Coturnix japonica: one gene and its partner. The protein of the gene in region 1 interacts with the protein of each later gene in a biochemical or structural test. Links are inferred from orthologs where the notes say so. Each region holds a gene or a part of one and is shown on either strand. Other genes may lie near its edges.

Region 1 (7,782 bases):
CTGCTTCACTTGTTAGTTGGAAATTCCCAAGCTGTCCATATTTAGTGTCCATAAGAGTAAATGTACAACAAGATCTGGTAAAGACCTGCTCTGTCCACCCTTTTTTAAGACATCACATCAAATTGGGGAAAGAAGCTTTTCCTACTGCTAGAGTAAACTAACCAATGCTAACCACTTCTTATTCCTTGTCACTGCTCACAGGGAACCTCACCAGCCAAAGCTGAACCAGGGACTATTTGTGAGGCAGCTACAGCGTGGTGAGATGCACATGAACCCTGGCAATGGGACAAAGGTATTTAATGATCCATCTTAATTGCAAGCAATTCTGAATGATGCTGAAGGCCTTTTGCTACACTTGACAGAAGTTGGCCATGTCTACATTTTTGCAGTACTTCTAAGTAAAGATAGATTGGTAATAGTTTTTTTTAATAATTCAAGATTGTTCTCAAACAACCTTTATGAATAAAGAACCGCATGGAGAAGAAGCCTGCTCCTTAACTGTTATACTGTTATATTTCTTGGTATTATTTCATAAACCTCAAGTGCTCTGTTTTGGAACTCTTATTTGCTCCCTTTTTGTTCCCAAGGTTTTGTGGCTTCAGAACCACAACATGCCTGAATGAAAGGGTGATTTCGATGCCAGTGTAACTTTCTTAGCAGAATTAGTTTAGTAAAAATCTACAAATGAACTGCAGTAAAATGTAAGAGCTCAATACTGGAAATGTTGAATTGATAAATTTCTCATGGTAAAACATTTCTGGTAATTCTCCAGTGCTAGAAAATAGTTTAAGATAGAGCTATTTGCAGGAATTAATAAGAATATTTTCATATGAACTGCTAGAGCACTGTACAGTGTAATGTTTACAAACATGTTTTGCACTGGACAAGATTAAGGGCTGGCAAGTCAGGAGATTTCCATTTAAATCTTTTCAATAATTCTGGATTACTCTATGAAAAGATCTGGCCCACTTAACCCATGTGATCAAATGCCAGCTTCCCAAATGACAAAGGAAATCTCATCAGGATAAGGATGCAAAAGACCAACTGCATTTGAGGCTGAGAAAAGTTTTGGGATGCATTTTGGTTGGTTTTCACTTCAGATCAAATGACAAACAGGCAGATGTTCATAGGAAATTTAAAAAAACAGGTCTTTATTGATATTATGTTCAAGACTTCCACAAAACAATAATTTATTTAATTCAAAAAAATTTGACTTATGAAAAAGATATGCCTTACTATGCTACATTTCCTGTAAGAAAATATAATCAATAAAGAGACAACTCAGCACACACCCGTTTTCTTAGATTTAAAAAAATAAAGTGTACATTAACTAGGAAAGGGGTGAATAACCCCATTTACCAGTTATTTACCAATCATTTACCAGTCTAATCAAATCATAAAAATTACTTTTTTGAGCTAGCTATCATATTTAAAAAGAATATAAAAAGTAGAAATATAAGCATCACTGACATAACTCCAAAATACAAAATCAAGACAATATTTTAACTAAAAAGGCACTTCTGGTTTCTGATTCAAGGAAGTATTTCTGGTCTTGGTGAAATTCCTCACGGATAGAAGTAAAATCTAAACGTGTATTTCTTACTGAAATACATAATTCTGTTGTTTCGGTGTTAAATTTTAATGTTTAATAACAAAAGTTAGACATTAACTTTTTGTGGGCTCAAAACTTATGAATCAACATGCAAGCATTCGTATTTCTGCAAGCAGAGAAACTGCACTACTACTGTGTTGGGCAGTTCTCAGCTGTCATTTACAAGGCAAAAATCTTCATAATGTTATTTTAATAAGGTATTATCTAATTAGTTTGCCCACTTTTAGAAAAACCAAAATGAAAATCTTTCTATTTGATACATTTCCATACCATTCAGCTGAATCACCTGCTAATAAAATTAACCTTATGCTAGAATGATAACTAAATTGACTTCCAGATTAAACACAGTGCATCCATTTTTCTTCATTAAGAGTGTTCTAAAATGGAAATAGATTTATTATACTAAGAAGTACCCTTTTAAATAGCTACAATGTCAGTTTCATCTCTGGACATATTGGTTGTATGATGGACTTTAGAAATTTCCAAGGAAGTTACAATACCATGAGATTGTAGTGAAAGAAAAGATGGAGTTTCCTTGATATGGTTTTTTCTTTACAGATTTTACATCCTGTTTTTTTGGAATAAACCTTTTGGGTCAGGTAACTGACTCTCAGAACATCTTCAACACCCATAAATCAAGACAGCTACACTAAGAGAAATCAAAATTATTTGTAATAGAATCATGGAGTTCTATGATTCTAATACAAATGAGAAATCAGCTCTAGGATTGATCCACAGCATTTAGATGGTCTTAAAAATATTGCATATTGTCCATTTGTCAGTTACCCCAGCTTATACAACATGTATATCTAGTATCAACATTTCTGTTATTACAAATTGTGTTACTGCAATTTATAATCAAATGTTCACCCCAAAATTTATCCTGATCTCACATTACTGGCTGTATTAAAATATGCTTTCAGAAGTAAAGTTCCTTAGTGAGCATAGAGACTACGCAAGGAATCTGCTTCTTCTCACTGAAGCGTGGATCATCAGACTGTGATTCAAAATTCGTGGCAACCACATAGTTGACCCGTGTGAGGATCTGCATGATCTCAAGTTGTTTTCCATGTTCATTGAGCACAGAGCACAAAGACTGCACAAACCAAGAGCCTCTTCCAGGATTCCTCCAGGAATAATAACCTTACAGGGAAGAGATTTAAAAAAAAAAAACGTTTTTTTTTCCCTCTTCCTTCTTATGACTTTGTGCTGAACAATGGAACATTAGAGAGAAGTGTAGGAGTTTGTGTGAAAGATTCTGGACAAGCAGTAACTGCACACAAAAACTTCAATTCTTGTTACTCCTGTCACAAATCTTGCTTCACTGACAAGGAAAATAACATGTATGACCTCTCCAACCTTCAGCATACTGAGGTAGCATTCTCTATTTTTTTCATAGAGCTTATTTTTGCAAAAGTTCATGGTATAGCCCATCCTTTTCTTGTATTTAAGTTCCACATAGTAACTAAACTAGCCTATCAAAGGCTGGTATCACCTTCCTCTGCCATCTGTAATGCCTGTGCTTTGTCATCTGCCAGATTTGGGCTTCCTCCCATTTCAGCTCTTGTAAAAGTAGTGGATGGAACAAAATGGCCAAGCATACACCATGCCTTAGCATTTTGTCCATCAGTGAGGGTCAGTCTAGGACACTAGTGGTTGTACTACTGCAGCTGTGATGCATAAGAGAAACAGCCAGTTCTATAAAGATAACATGTTTTATCGGAGTAACTATTATAGATGAAAAATGTTGATTGGCAACTGAAGATAGGATAAATTATTAAGCTTCTTGCCTCTACTACTCCCCCATTTATTTATTTATTTATTCATTTATTCATTTATTTATTTATTTATTTATTTATTTATTACCTGGCACTGTGGAATATGCAAACAGAAAATCTGCTTCTACTGGGATTTTGTATCTAGGATTGGCATCTGTTTCCAGAGTGTCATTTGCAGGTCCAGAGTCAGTTTGTATACCTTCATCAAACTCAGAGCCTCGGCACGCCTGAAACAGCAGTGAAGATGAAGACAACTTGACCAGTAAGGAGAAATGAAGTGTTTTATAAAGTTTTTTTATAAAATTTTTTAATGGATGCAATTTTTAGCAATACTTTGTATGAACGAGAGGCAATAAAGTAGAAAGCAAGGCTACTCAGGGAGACTAAAGAATTTAGCAGAATGCAGTAATTTGGAGACAGAGCCTTTATCCACTTTTGAAGCTACAGACAACCACATAAGTGCCATAACATTTTCCCCACTGCAGAAGAAGGATATAATATTTACCTGAATGAAAAACAATTTGGGTTTGCCTATAAGGCTTTTACATTTGTCTCCTCTGAAGAGTACAGTCAGGTGTTTGATAGCCATAGGTCCATCGGTGCCATAAATGAGGCCTTCTTCCCCATGGCTTAGAAGGATACAGGCAAAACAAGCAGCATCACTGTGATTCTCTTCAGCAGCTACAAATCAAATAATTTTTAGCCAAAAGGAGGCAACATTTTAAATGGAACATAATATTTATCAAACACATCTTTCTGAGACTAAATAAACACTGGGCCTCTACTGGAAGTTATAAAATGGAGTAGATAAATCCACTTATTAAGAATGTGATGAATACCTTGAATAAATGAACATAGAGTTCGACCTGCTTGATTCAATAAGCTGAACTCTTAACTACATGCAGTTATTTTAGTAGATTTGTCATCTACTGTGACAAGAAAACTATACATTTCTGAATTTACACAGGAGGAGGAAGAGTTGTGGGAATTAAGGATAATCTGTTCAGAAATTGAATCTTTCTCTAGAGAAAATTCCATTTCATGGGGCCTAAGCACTCTGTTCTAATCTGACCTGCTCTGTGCAGAGCATTGCTTAGGTGACCTCCAGAGGTCCTTTACACAATAGATTATTCTATTCTAAATTTTTACCTTGTTTCAGTAATGTTTTCATATCCTCACAGCTTCGGTCATTGTATGTGTGAACATCAAAACCTAAGCTTCTGAAACTCTTAGAGAGATCTCCAGCATCTTTATCAGTACCATTGCGTATACCCATTCCTACCAGAAAAGAAATAGTACAGTTGATTGCATGTTACATGACTTAAAATAATTTATATGTCCAAAGGCAACTTTTAGGTTCTTAACTTATTTACAATGAGACATGAGTTTAAAACAATCCTCTGACAATATCCTTGGCATTCTGAACAAACTGTGTTTTGTTTTAATGCAAAGTAATGCAAGGTCCAATGTGAACATGTATTTTATGCTGGAAAATGCTGGTTTATATCCAACATGGGACCTCTGTGGAAAATTCTATCTCCTTTTGGTTATGCAGAGTAACATATGCACAAAGCTCTTCAAGGAATAATTATTCAAAACAATTCCCCATGATACCCTAATAAAGAAAATTGACGTAAATTCTTTGGAATAAGCACTTCATTTAATTTGTAAGCCCAGCTTGTAGAGGGTAAAAAAAGTCTACAAAGTTGGCTATATCACAGATATCTGTCTGCTTCAAAACACTGTACACAATCTGGAACGTGCATCTGACATTGGATTGTGAACAGAGCACAGCAATTGTTATTGTAGTGCAACTATAGCTTTTAGGTGCAGCTCAGAGACAGAGAATTCATAACATGGGCTGCAGATACCAAAGTTCAGGTTTTAACAATGCAGACTTAAATTCTAGGACAGAAGTTGAGTTAAAAGTTGGCAGAACAAGCTGATGTACTTTTTTTAACCACCTACTGCAAAGGAGCTGTAAAGAGCTACTCTAATATAAGGATTAAAGAACAGGAACAAACAGTATGAACAACTGCTTATCAAATAAAGTGAATATAGTCATTAAAATTCCATGTCCTAAAAATAACAGGTTTATTGATTAATGAAAGTATCTGCAATAAGTGTCACTGAATCACAGAATCGAAGAATGGTTTAGGTTGGAAAGGACCTCTGGAGGTCGTGTGGTCCAACCTCCCTTCTCAAGTAAGACAAAGAACGTTACCTGTTTTGTCTTCAAAATTTTTGTTGTTTATAATTATACATTTGCCAACCTTCTTGTAGTTCATATTATACTGGAATGTGGGTGTAACAATTCGGTACTGGTTACTGAGGGTGGACTTTGGTTGTTCTTCTTCTCCATTCTTCTTTTTCCTGTGTGAATCAAATGAAAACACTGTTAATGACCTGTCATGTGAATGTGCTTATTTATTCTAACTCATACCATTGGGGCAGCACTACCTGATGTTTTTATTTCTCTTATATTTTTTTTTCTTTGTATTTCATACAGAGATGTAGAGATATTAACTCATGGCTTAAGTCTCATGATTTCCGTGCAGTATTTGGATACTGATGATGGTAAAATCACTCTTGAGTGAGCTGCAATCAACTGCAATGCGTACAGACCATGACCAAATATCAGGCTGGCAGCAGTCTTTTGCAAACTATGGTTCTAAATGTAAGTACTATTTTAATTTTACTGTAAGTGATTCATGTAAGCCCAGACAGATCTTCCTTAATGACTACTGCAAGCATTACAAGCAGATACAATTTACTATGTGGCATAATGGGATCTGTTTATTGAATCATCCCTAAATTCTCTGAAAGTGATAAAGAGCAGTAGGTATTTTGTACTGATAAAGGTTATAGATATTGACAGCTCATTTGTTAGCGTGGTTTGTCAATCGATAGTTTGAAGCTATGCTAAAAACTAAGTGCCATTCAGTGTGACGTCATCACTATCTCAACCTCATTATAAACAAACAAGAAAATCCTATAGACATTCTCCATTAGTATAACTGTGCAGTGATTTTTCTGCTTTGTGATGGAGTCTTAGATTGAATTAGAAAAAGATGGTGAGATACAGCATGGACTTTACCCAGAAATTTATTCTAAATTAAATACTATAGAATGAATCTGTGATAACCAGCATGCACATCTGAGGTACAAGCATGAGGAACTCAGCAGTGCTTGCTTTTAGAGGTGGACTTTTTTGTCCAGCCAAGTGATTTTTGACATTGAGATGATCTCTACAAGCAGAACTGAAGCCAGTGAAAGCCTTCAAAGGCTCTGATGAAACTTCAGAAATACAAGCAAGCCTTGGAGCAGGCCTGCTTAGAAACAATACTTGGGAAAGAGCAGAAGGTATCAGCATCTTGCTTCCAGTAGTACTCATTGCTGAAGTATAAGAGGAAAACATAACCTATTTTCTCAGCACAACTAGCAGTACTGCAACATTTTAACAAAATTAGATTTGTACCATTAATGTCAATGAAGTACTTTCACTGTTCCCACTTTGACATCTTTCTAGAAAATTACCAAGCTTTTTGCTTCACTAATAGTCCTCACAGATGAGATTGCTGTGGATTGATTAAATGTTGTTTAGGAAATGTACTTTCTTATCTTCCTGACTTAACAATTGTTGTTCTCTAGCAATTGTTGGAGTCTCCAAGTGTCCTATTTTTCATTACTAAAGGGCAAGACTAACTGGAAACCATAATAAAGCATCTCTAGATGATTCATCATGTTCAAATGCCATGGCAATTCAATTTTAAAACAGTTTCTTCTTATCTTTGAGTGTCCTCATGCTCTAAGTGACCAAATTAAATAGCTGCATCTGGCAGGCTTTCTCCATACTCTTTTTTCCCATCATCCTAATGTCATCTCCTCTCTTAGACTTTTAGAAACTGTGAAAGAAGATTTTGAATTATACCTACTTGAGGACTATATTTGATACTCCAAAAGTACATGGTTTTATTCTGGCAAATCACAAATATTGGTATTCTCCCTGCATACTGCTTCTTGAGGGCTCTGAGAGCAATAATTAAATATGCTTTGCCTCAAGAAAAGATTTTAACCATTTTAAAGAGTTATCCGCAGCTGCATGATGTTATGGATGCATGATGGGTTTCAAAGAGATCACAGATTCTTATTTTGGCCTAAAATTCCCCCTAGTCCAACATCACAAAGACAACTCTTGGGAAAAAAGAAAAGGGAAAAAGAAAATTCAAAACAAGAAGTGAGCACTCAGGTCAGTGAAGAGACTAATTTCCTCAGTCCATGCCCTATTCAAGTTTCTACAAATGTATCCACCTTCACTGACTTCCTGAATATGCTGTATGACTATCCGTGGATGTTACACATACTCAGATGTTTTCAAGGGACAAATGACAC
Region 2 (6,766 bases), on another chromosome or scaffold:
TCTGATGCTATCAAGTAACTTCTAGTTTTGATAGAAGTTTCAGGTAGCAGATGAGATTCAGTTTGTGTATTGCAAAGGTTTTCTATGCAGGAGACAGGTTAACATCCACTGTGCTCTGTCAGGGAGCCCTGCAGGTTGGTAGGCACAGCACGTGGCCCCTGGCCTTTAATGAAGGTCCTTTCCAACTCAAATGATTCTGTGTATGACTCATGTGTTGCTAGCTTGATTTAATCCTCTTTATAATGTCTATGCTTATTATATGACATAACAAACCCCTTGGAAAGCTTTCCAGGACCAGGAAATCATCGTGTGCTAAGTAAAGACACTTAAGAAACTTGGGTATTACCAACATGAAGGTTTAGGTAGCACTATGAGCTTATCAGTTGTGACAGGTTGGGAAGTGCCTGACCACAGACCAGCCCACAGCAATGATATGTGTCTGTTAAAATGAGAGTTTGTAGCATTGAATGAGTATTATTGTGTCTAATGATCTCGGGTTGCCCCTACTTTGCTGTGCTGGAGGTGCCCATAGGTGGGAGGCCCTACCTTGTGCCATGCATACCATGGGATTAATGTTCCCAGTGACCGTCTTGGGTTTTCCAGCTGGTGACAAAATTCTGGGCACCGGTCAAAACCCACGAGGGCCATTCCCCCTTGTCCCATCACTATCAGACTGTGCAAAAAGTTGGTCTCCCTCCTGTTTATAGGATCCCTTCAGGTACCAGAAGGCTTCAGTAGGTTCCCCAAAACCTTCTTTTCCCCAGGCTGAACAAGCCCAGCTCCCTCAGCCTTTCTTCACTGAGAAGGTGCTCCAGTTCTCTGGGCATCTCTGTGGCCTCTTCTGGATCCGCTCCAACACCTTCACATCCTTCTTGTATTGGGGCCAGTGCAATACTCCAGATGGGGCCTCAGAAAAGCAGAGTAGAGAGGAACAATCTCCATTGCCCTGCTGGCCTCTGTTGGTGCAGCCCAGGATATAGTGGGTCTTCCAGGCCACAGGTACTCACTGCTGGCTCATGTCACCCTGGATGTTCCAGCGATTTGCTGATCATGGCATTTCCATGGCAGCACATGCCGTGCTACTCTTTGGCACATGAAGAGCCCTCAAGTGTAGATCTGAAGTTACTGCTGTCAGGGACAGGCCAGCACCAAGAGCTTCCAACCCAAACCTGTAGCAACATTTGCTTCATTGACGAGTCCAAATTGTCTTTGGGTGAACATCTTCATCTGTCAGCAAGGAGAATCTTTTCTGCTCAGCTTTTACAGAACCAGCCTTTCATTTCCTACAGAAATGATGGAAAGCTGTTTTGGGGACCAGAACTTGTTTTAAAGCACCGTGGCCCTCTGATATTGCTGGAGGATTGGGGTAGCAGTAGAGTAGCAGTGGAACAAAGGTTCGTGCAACAGCTCTGAGATGTTTCTCTTTCTTTGTATCTCATTGGTGGGAATTTCAGTCTGAAATTGTGTTTTTTCTCCGCATTATTAAACAAAACTTGTCACACTAAAGGCCTTCCTGGTCTCCATGTATCTCCCTCCAAGATTCCTTCTTGAACACAGTGACTCCTTCACCCAGGTGCCACTTTGGTCCATAGGAGGCATCTATAAATCTAATAAACACATTCCTTCTGGTCTGCTCTTAATACATGCATGCACACCCACACATCCAGTTTCTTCTCCTTTGGCATGCATCAGAACATCATTTCTTGTATTTTTAAGTGTGAGGTTGTTTGTTGTGTTTTAATACTGGTGTGAAGAGTGTGTGTTGGATGGTGCCTGGCAGTCTGTTCATTGTGTACACGCTGCTTGATTTTCCTGTTTGTGGTTGCTAATGTTGCTAATTCTTGCTGGATAAACTCAGGTATTTGAATATCATGGCTGGTTCATTTTCCCAGTTCGACATTATGGTAGTAATTAATGGCTGGGTTTTCATCTGAGCCTCTGCAAATCTCTTCCCAGTGATTGCGGTGCAGTAGGAAGCAATAATTACTCACTGAATCTATTTAACTGCAAACCGTCTGACCTCAGTTCAGGAAAAACATTTCAGTGTGTGGTTAACATTGATTCTTGGTAGCACTCTCTTTTAGTTTAGTTTCTTAATTAGATGCCTTGGTGGTAAGAGATGTGTTGGGCTGCTGGGGACAAAACCAGTGCTTCCTGCTGGTACCCACCTTGGTGAGGGATGAGGCACAGCCTGGGTGCCTTTGTGCCCCTTTGGAGGGGAGAAGGAAGGGAAAAAAGGCTGTAAAATCATGATGACTTTCAGATGCATTGAGTAATCTGTGTGCAGTGGAGATAATGCACAAAGATGTAATCTCTTTGCACCACGGTTAGTGCAAAGGTGTACTTACATTAACAGGACAGCACTAAGTTAATGAGACAGCAGGGTGGTAACTGGAGAGTCCCCATCTCCTGCTGCTGTCTGTCTCTGGGCTGCTGGATGAAGGTCTGAAGGTTCCAAAGTCCATGCTGAAGTGCTGGGGATCTGAAGAGCTGAGCTTGCTGCCCTGGGATTGCTGCGCTTTCTCTGGTAGGAAGCTGTGCCTGCACCACCTTGGAGGCTGCCTTGTGTATCACTGATTTAAGGGCTCTCTCACTTTCAGTGATTTCCCACCCATTCATGAGAATGAACACATTGCATGTCATTCTTCTTGCAGATGCACAGACACAGCCAGGACAAAGCATCTTGCTGAACACTTCTGTTGCTTGCCCCATGAAAGGGCCACTTGTTTCCTGCTGCATTCAGGGCACAGCCAGCAGCAGGGGGTTTGTTAGGGAAAGCAGGGCATAAATGGACCCCATCAAGAACAGAGACACTCCAGTTGCATCCTTCTGCAGGCTATTTCTTTCACAGATAATGGGGATTCTCTGCAAAGCAGGAACTTCTGAAGCTTTGGGAGAGTGCAGGAGCTCATCTTGTGCCAAGTTAGTTAAACCACGTGAGCTCTGGGCTGATAAACAGCAACTTGTTTTCCATAAGGGAGGCTTGTGACAGATCAGACCCCATCATTATGATACTACAGCCTCAGAAATAATTGCCATAGTGAGTCATAAGGAAAAGCTTTCATTTATAATGCCCCTAAACTGTGCTACATTGTAAAAAGGCTGTACAAGTTACAAGGCTAATGCAGTCATCTTCTGTTACAGAAGCAGTTCTTATTCTCTAGGGGCTAAAGTAGCAAAGGGGCACAAGAATCTTATACAGAAACATACTCTCATAAAGCATAAAGTGATGCCGTCCAGCACTAACTTTGGGAAAAGGAAAGAAAAAAGTAGCAGTATTTCCCTGTTTTGCTCTTTTGACATTTATATTGTGTTGGAGGAAGCGTCGGAGGCTGTTCTTGGCATAGAGTTCCTCAAGGAAGGGCCATCTCCACTCTGTGTAATCATCTGGTGAAACAGCTGTAGTGTTTCAGCATCTAGGGAAGCCCACTGGAAACTTTACATTTTGTTATGGCTGTCAGAGCTTCCAAAGGGAAAACAGAACACTCATGCTGTGTTACTGGCTCTCACCTACGGGGCCACTGATGCTACATATCAACTAAACACCCTTCCTCCTTGATATATGTTTCAGGAAGACTTAGCTGCTGCCTGTAAGCTGGTCAGTGCAGAATTTAACCCTAAGGCTGAGGCTGTTCCTGTTGCCACTTAGTGCCTCGATCTTACATTCAATTGCCAGAGCAGCTGGAGAAGTGCTGGGAGTGAGTGGAGATGGCTGTGCTGTACCTGGCCTTGGTCAAAGCATGACCCTGTGCTGATGAAAATGAACCTGGAGACCCTTGGAAGAGCCTGGGGGCCACTCCTGCTCTGCCAGGAGTTACAGCAGGGCTGACCTGAACCCAAAGTCAAAACTCATGCTCAGAGGCAGAATAAGTGTGGGACACACCTGCCTTTGCATTACTGCACAGACTGCAGGGCTGGGGTAGTGATGTTTGAGGTTTTCTTTCAATACATGTGAGGGGTGAGCACGTGGGATTGAGGTGCTATGCTGTGGTAGCTGCTTCCTTGAGAAACCAGCTTTATCTGTTCACACTTTTCATCTGTTGGCTCTCCTTTGGCCAGTATGAGGATAAGGGATCTGGGAGGTAGCAGTCTTTCCCCCAGAATTATGAAAGTAGATCTAGAAGATGTTTCTAGTGTCTGTCTCAACCTTTAGGGGACATCAGAGGGTCCCAGTGGGAGTTCTGGGTGCAGTTCTGTGGGAATTTGGTGATTCTCAGAGCTGCTCTGCTTCCTTCTCTCAGTGTAATAGCATTGGATGCAGCAAAATCACAAGTGTGAGCTTTTTCTTCTAGGTTTGATTTCTTTCATTTTTTGAGTGCGTGATCCCTTCTGCTTTGTTTTCCAGGTGCCCAGATAAGCTGCTTTGCCCCCAGCTCCTTCTCCTGGCGCCAGGCTGCCTACGTGGATTCCTATTGCTGGGCAGCAGTGCAGCAGAAGCAGCCAGCCTACAACAACCTGGAGAACATTCCCCTCTGGCTCCATAAAGTACGTACACAGGTCTCCTCACAGAAACACTGACCACATGTAGAATCCTGCCTTTACATTCCCCTTCTCATTCTTCCTCTTTTGCCTAAAGAAGCTGTGGATGCCCCATCCCTGGAGATGCTAAACGCCAGATTGGATGGGACTCTGGATAAAGTGATATAGTAGAAGGTGTCCCTGTCCTGGCAGGGTTTTGGAACTGGATGATTTATAATGTCCCTTCCAACCCAAACCATTCTATGGATTCCATGATTCTTCTCTGCTGTTATCCCTGGCTTTGACTTGACTTACTGTTTTTTAGAGAGAATGTTTTCTTTTTCTTACATCCGAAGGGGTAGAGCTGGAATAGACATTTTGTGCTTATAAACAAAGGATCTGTTTGCTAGAATAACAAATGTCCCCAGTTATCTGACAAAAGAGTAATGTTGATGTGTTGCCCTGGAGATTGGTGCCCAACATGTCTTTAAAGAACAACTACTTTAACTCAGGATGCAAAACAGAGCAGCTGACTTAACACTGTATCAAAGCCTTAATTTCGGAAAGCAGGATAGTAAAAACATTTGATATTTTTATTGTATTATACTTGGCCAGCTGGAGAAAGTTGGACTCAGGGCAGATATGGGAGAGGTGAAGTGTATAATGGACAGCAGCATGTTTCAGTCTGCTTTTTCAGGTTGTTCCCATTGAGCCTTTCATTGCTGCAAGCAAAGCAGCATCACTGACTGCTCAGATAAGTGGGTTCTGAGATACCTGAGATGGCTCAAAGGGGTCAGCTTAGTTTTGATTTGGGTTGCAGATTCTGATTTAAATGCTTGGGCAGTGCTGATGATGAAGTCAGAAACGCTGCAGGAGCTCTGTGGTTGTGTGGGTTTTGTTGTGTGCTGCCCTTTTATTACCTTGCCCTTTTATTACATGTTCAAGCCACAGCTTTGTGTCCCAGCAAATAACCTTAGTGGCCATAGGGTGAGGACCTGGTGTTAGAGGCAGTTTGGCTCTGGCACCTGCAGTGCCTGTTCTTCTGCGTTCTGCTGGCACATCCAGTGCCTCAGCTTTTATTGTCCAGTCAGCTGGTTGGATCTCCTTGGGCAGACTGTTCTGATTCAATTCTTGCCCCAGAGCCCTGGCTGTAAGGGTTTACTACTGCCTTCCCCAATGATTTCCACTCATAACTTGGACCTAGAGGACCTTCATTTCATGAATGTTAAAGCCAGAGTTGTTGGCTTCCAACCTGAACTTGTCGTTGCTCAGTGAGTGTCCTAGCTCACTCTAGCCAGGCCTGCAGAGACTGAAGCTGCTGGGACGTCAGTCTGCTTGGGCAGGTGGGGCCTCAACCTGCAGAGCTGGACGCCTTGCTCCCTCCCTCTGTCAAGGAAATGCCTTCTTGTTACCTTCTCTCTTTTAGTTGAACTTTATGCTACAGTTGATAGCTGGCAATTGCAGCAGTAAGTCTCTTAGTTTGCCAGCTATGGCATAAGCCATGTGTCATACTGACATGACACAGACCATGTTAATTTGCTGACTGGTGATGTCTCAGGAATCTCTGCGCGGCTCTTATTGCCACAGTTCTTCTGTGGCAGATGGTGTGTGATGTTTCCTTGGGAAACCCTGCAGGCTGGCAGTGAGCAGTGAGTCCAAACAGATGAGTCACAGCTTGTAACTGGGCTGGGATGCCTGGGCCTGACCTCTGCACCCATGCTTGGCCCCCAGCCCTGCCACTGAGCCAGCTGTCAGAACTGCACATGCTGCTTGGAGGCCAGCCAGTGGGATGGGATGGGATGGAAGGGAATGGAATGGAAGGGAATGGCTCATTGGAAAGACCTACAGAGACCATTAAGTCCAGTTGCCTGACAACTTCAGAGTCAACAAAAAGTTAAAGCATATTATTGAGGGTGTTATCTCTCAAGTGATGCTAAAGGATACAGCAGAGGTGACCTGCTGTTGCCACTGCTGAAATGCACCACCCACTGCCTCACTGTGCTCACATTCACTGCTGTGCCTCCAAAAAGTTTCAGCCAGCATCCATAAATGTCAGTGGGGGCACTTCTTTCTGCATGGGGGAATTCAGTGACACACCTTTGCTTCATCCTCACTTCCATGTCAGGCATTTTTTGTCACACTACCCCCCTGTTGCCATCTGTCACGCAGCAACAAAATATAATGGGATATTGATGGGAAGGTTCAGCCTCTACTGCCATCCCACCAACACCCATCTTTGTAGTCATGGGCGGAGTAATAAAAGAAGAGGCAGCCCTCATCTTCACTCCCTTTATGCAGTTTGCTTCTC

What was found. The genes of interacting proteins can lie anywhere in the genome.
Region 2: of the proteins of CASP7 (region 1) and PANX1, one has a biochemical effect on the other in vitro, tested with the Homo sapiens proteins (2 studies listed by IntAct). The link is inferred for Coturnix japonica from reciprocal best matches to the Homo sapiens genes CASP7 and PANX1.

The regions. Positions count from the first base shown.
Region 1 is NC_029521.1:24,418,619-24,426,400, reverse strand, and holds the end of CASP7 (caspase-7), read right to left. Parts: intron 6,068-7,782; exon of another isoform or gene 5,900-6,067; intron 5,764-5,899; coding exon 5,615-5,763; intron 4,669-5,614; coding exon 4,540-4,668; intron 4,072-4,539; coding exon 3,896-4,071; intron 3,653-3,895; exon of another isoform or gene 3,618-3,652; coding exon 3,479-3,617; intron 2,756-3,478; coding exon 2,532-2,755; 3' UTR 1,128-2,531; downstream 1-1,127. UniProt on the Homo sapiens protein: Thiol protease involved in different programmed cell death processes, such as apoptosis, pyroptosis or granzyme-mediated programmed cell death, by proteolytically cleaving target proteins.
Region 2 is NC_029516.1:166,061,945-166,068,710, reverse strand, and holds part of PANX1 (pannexin-1), read left to right. Parts: intron 1-4,345; coding exon 4,346-4,485; intron 4,486-6,766. UniProt on the Homo sapiens protein: Ion channel involved in a variety of physiological functions such as blood pressure regulation, apoptotic cell clearance and oogenesis.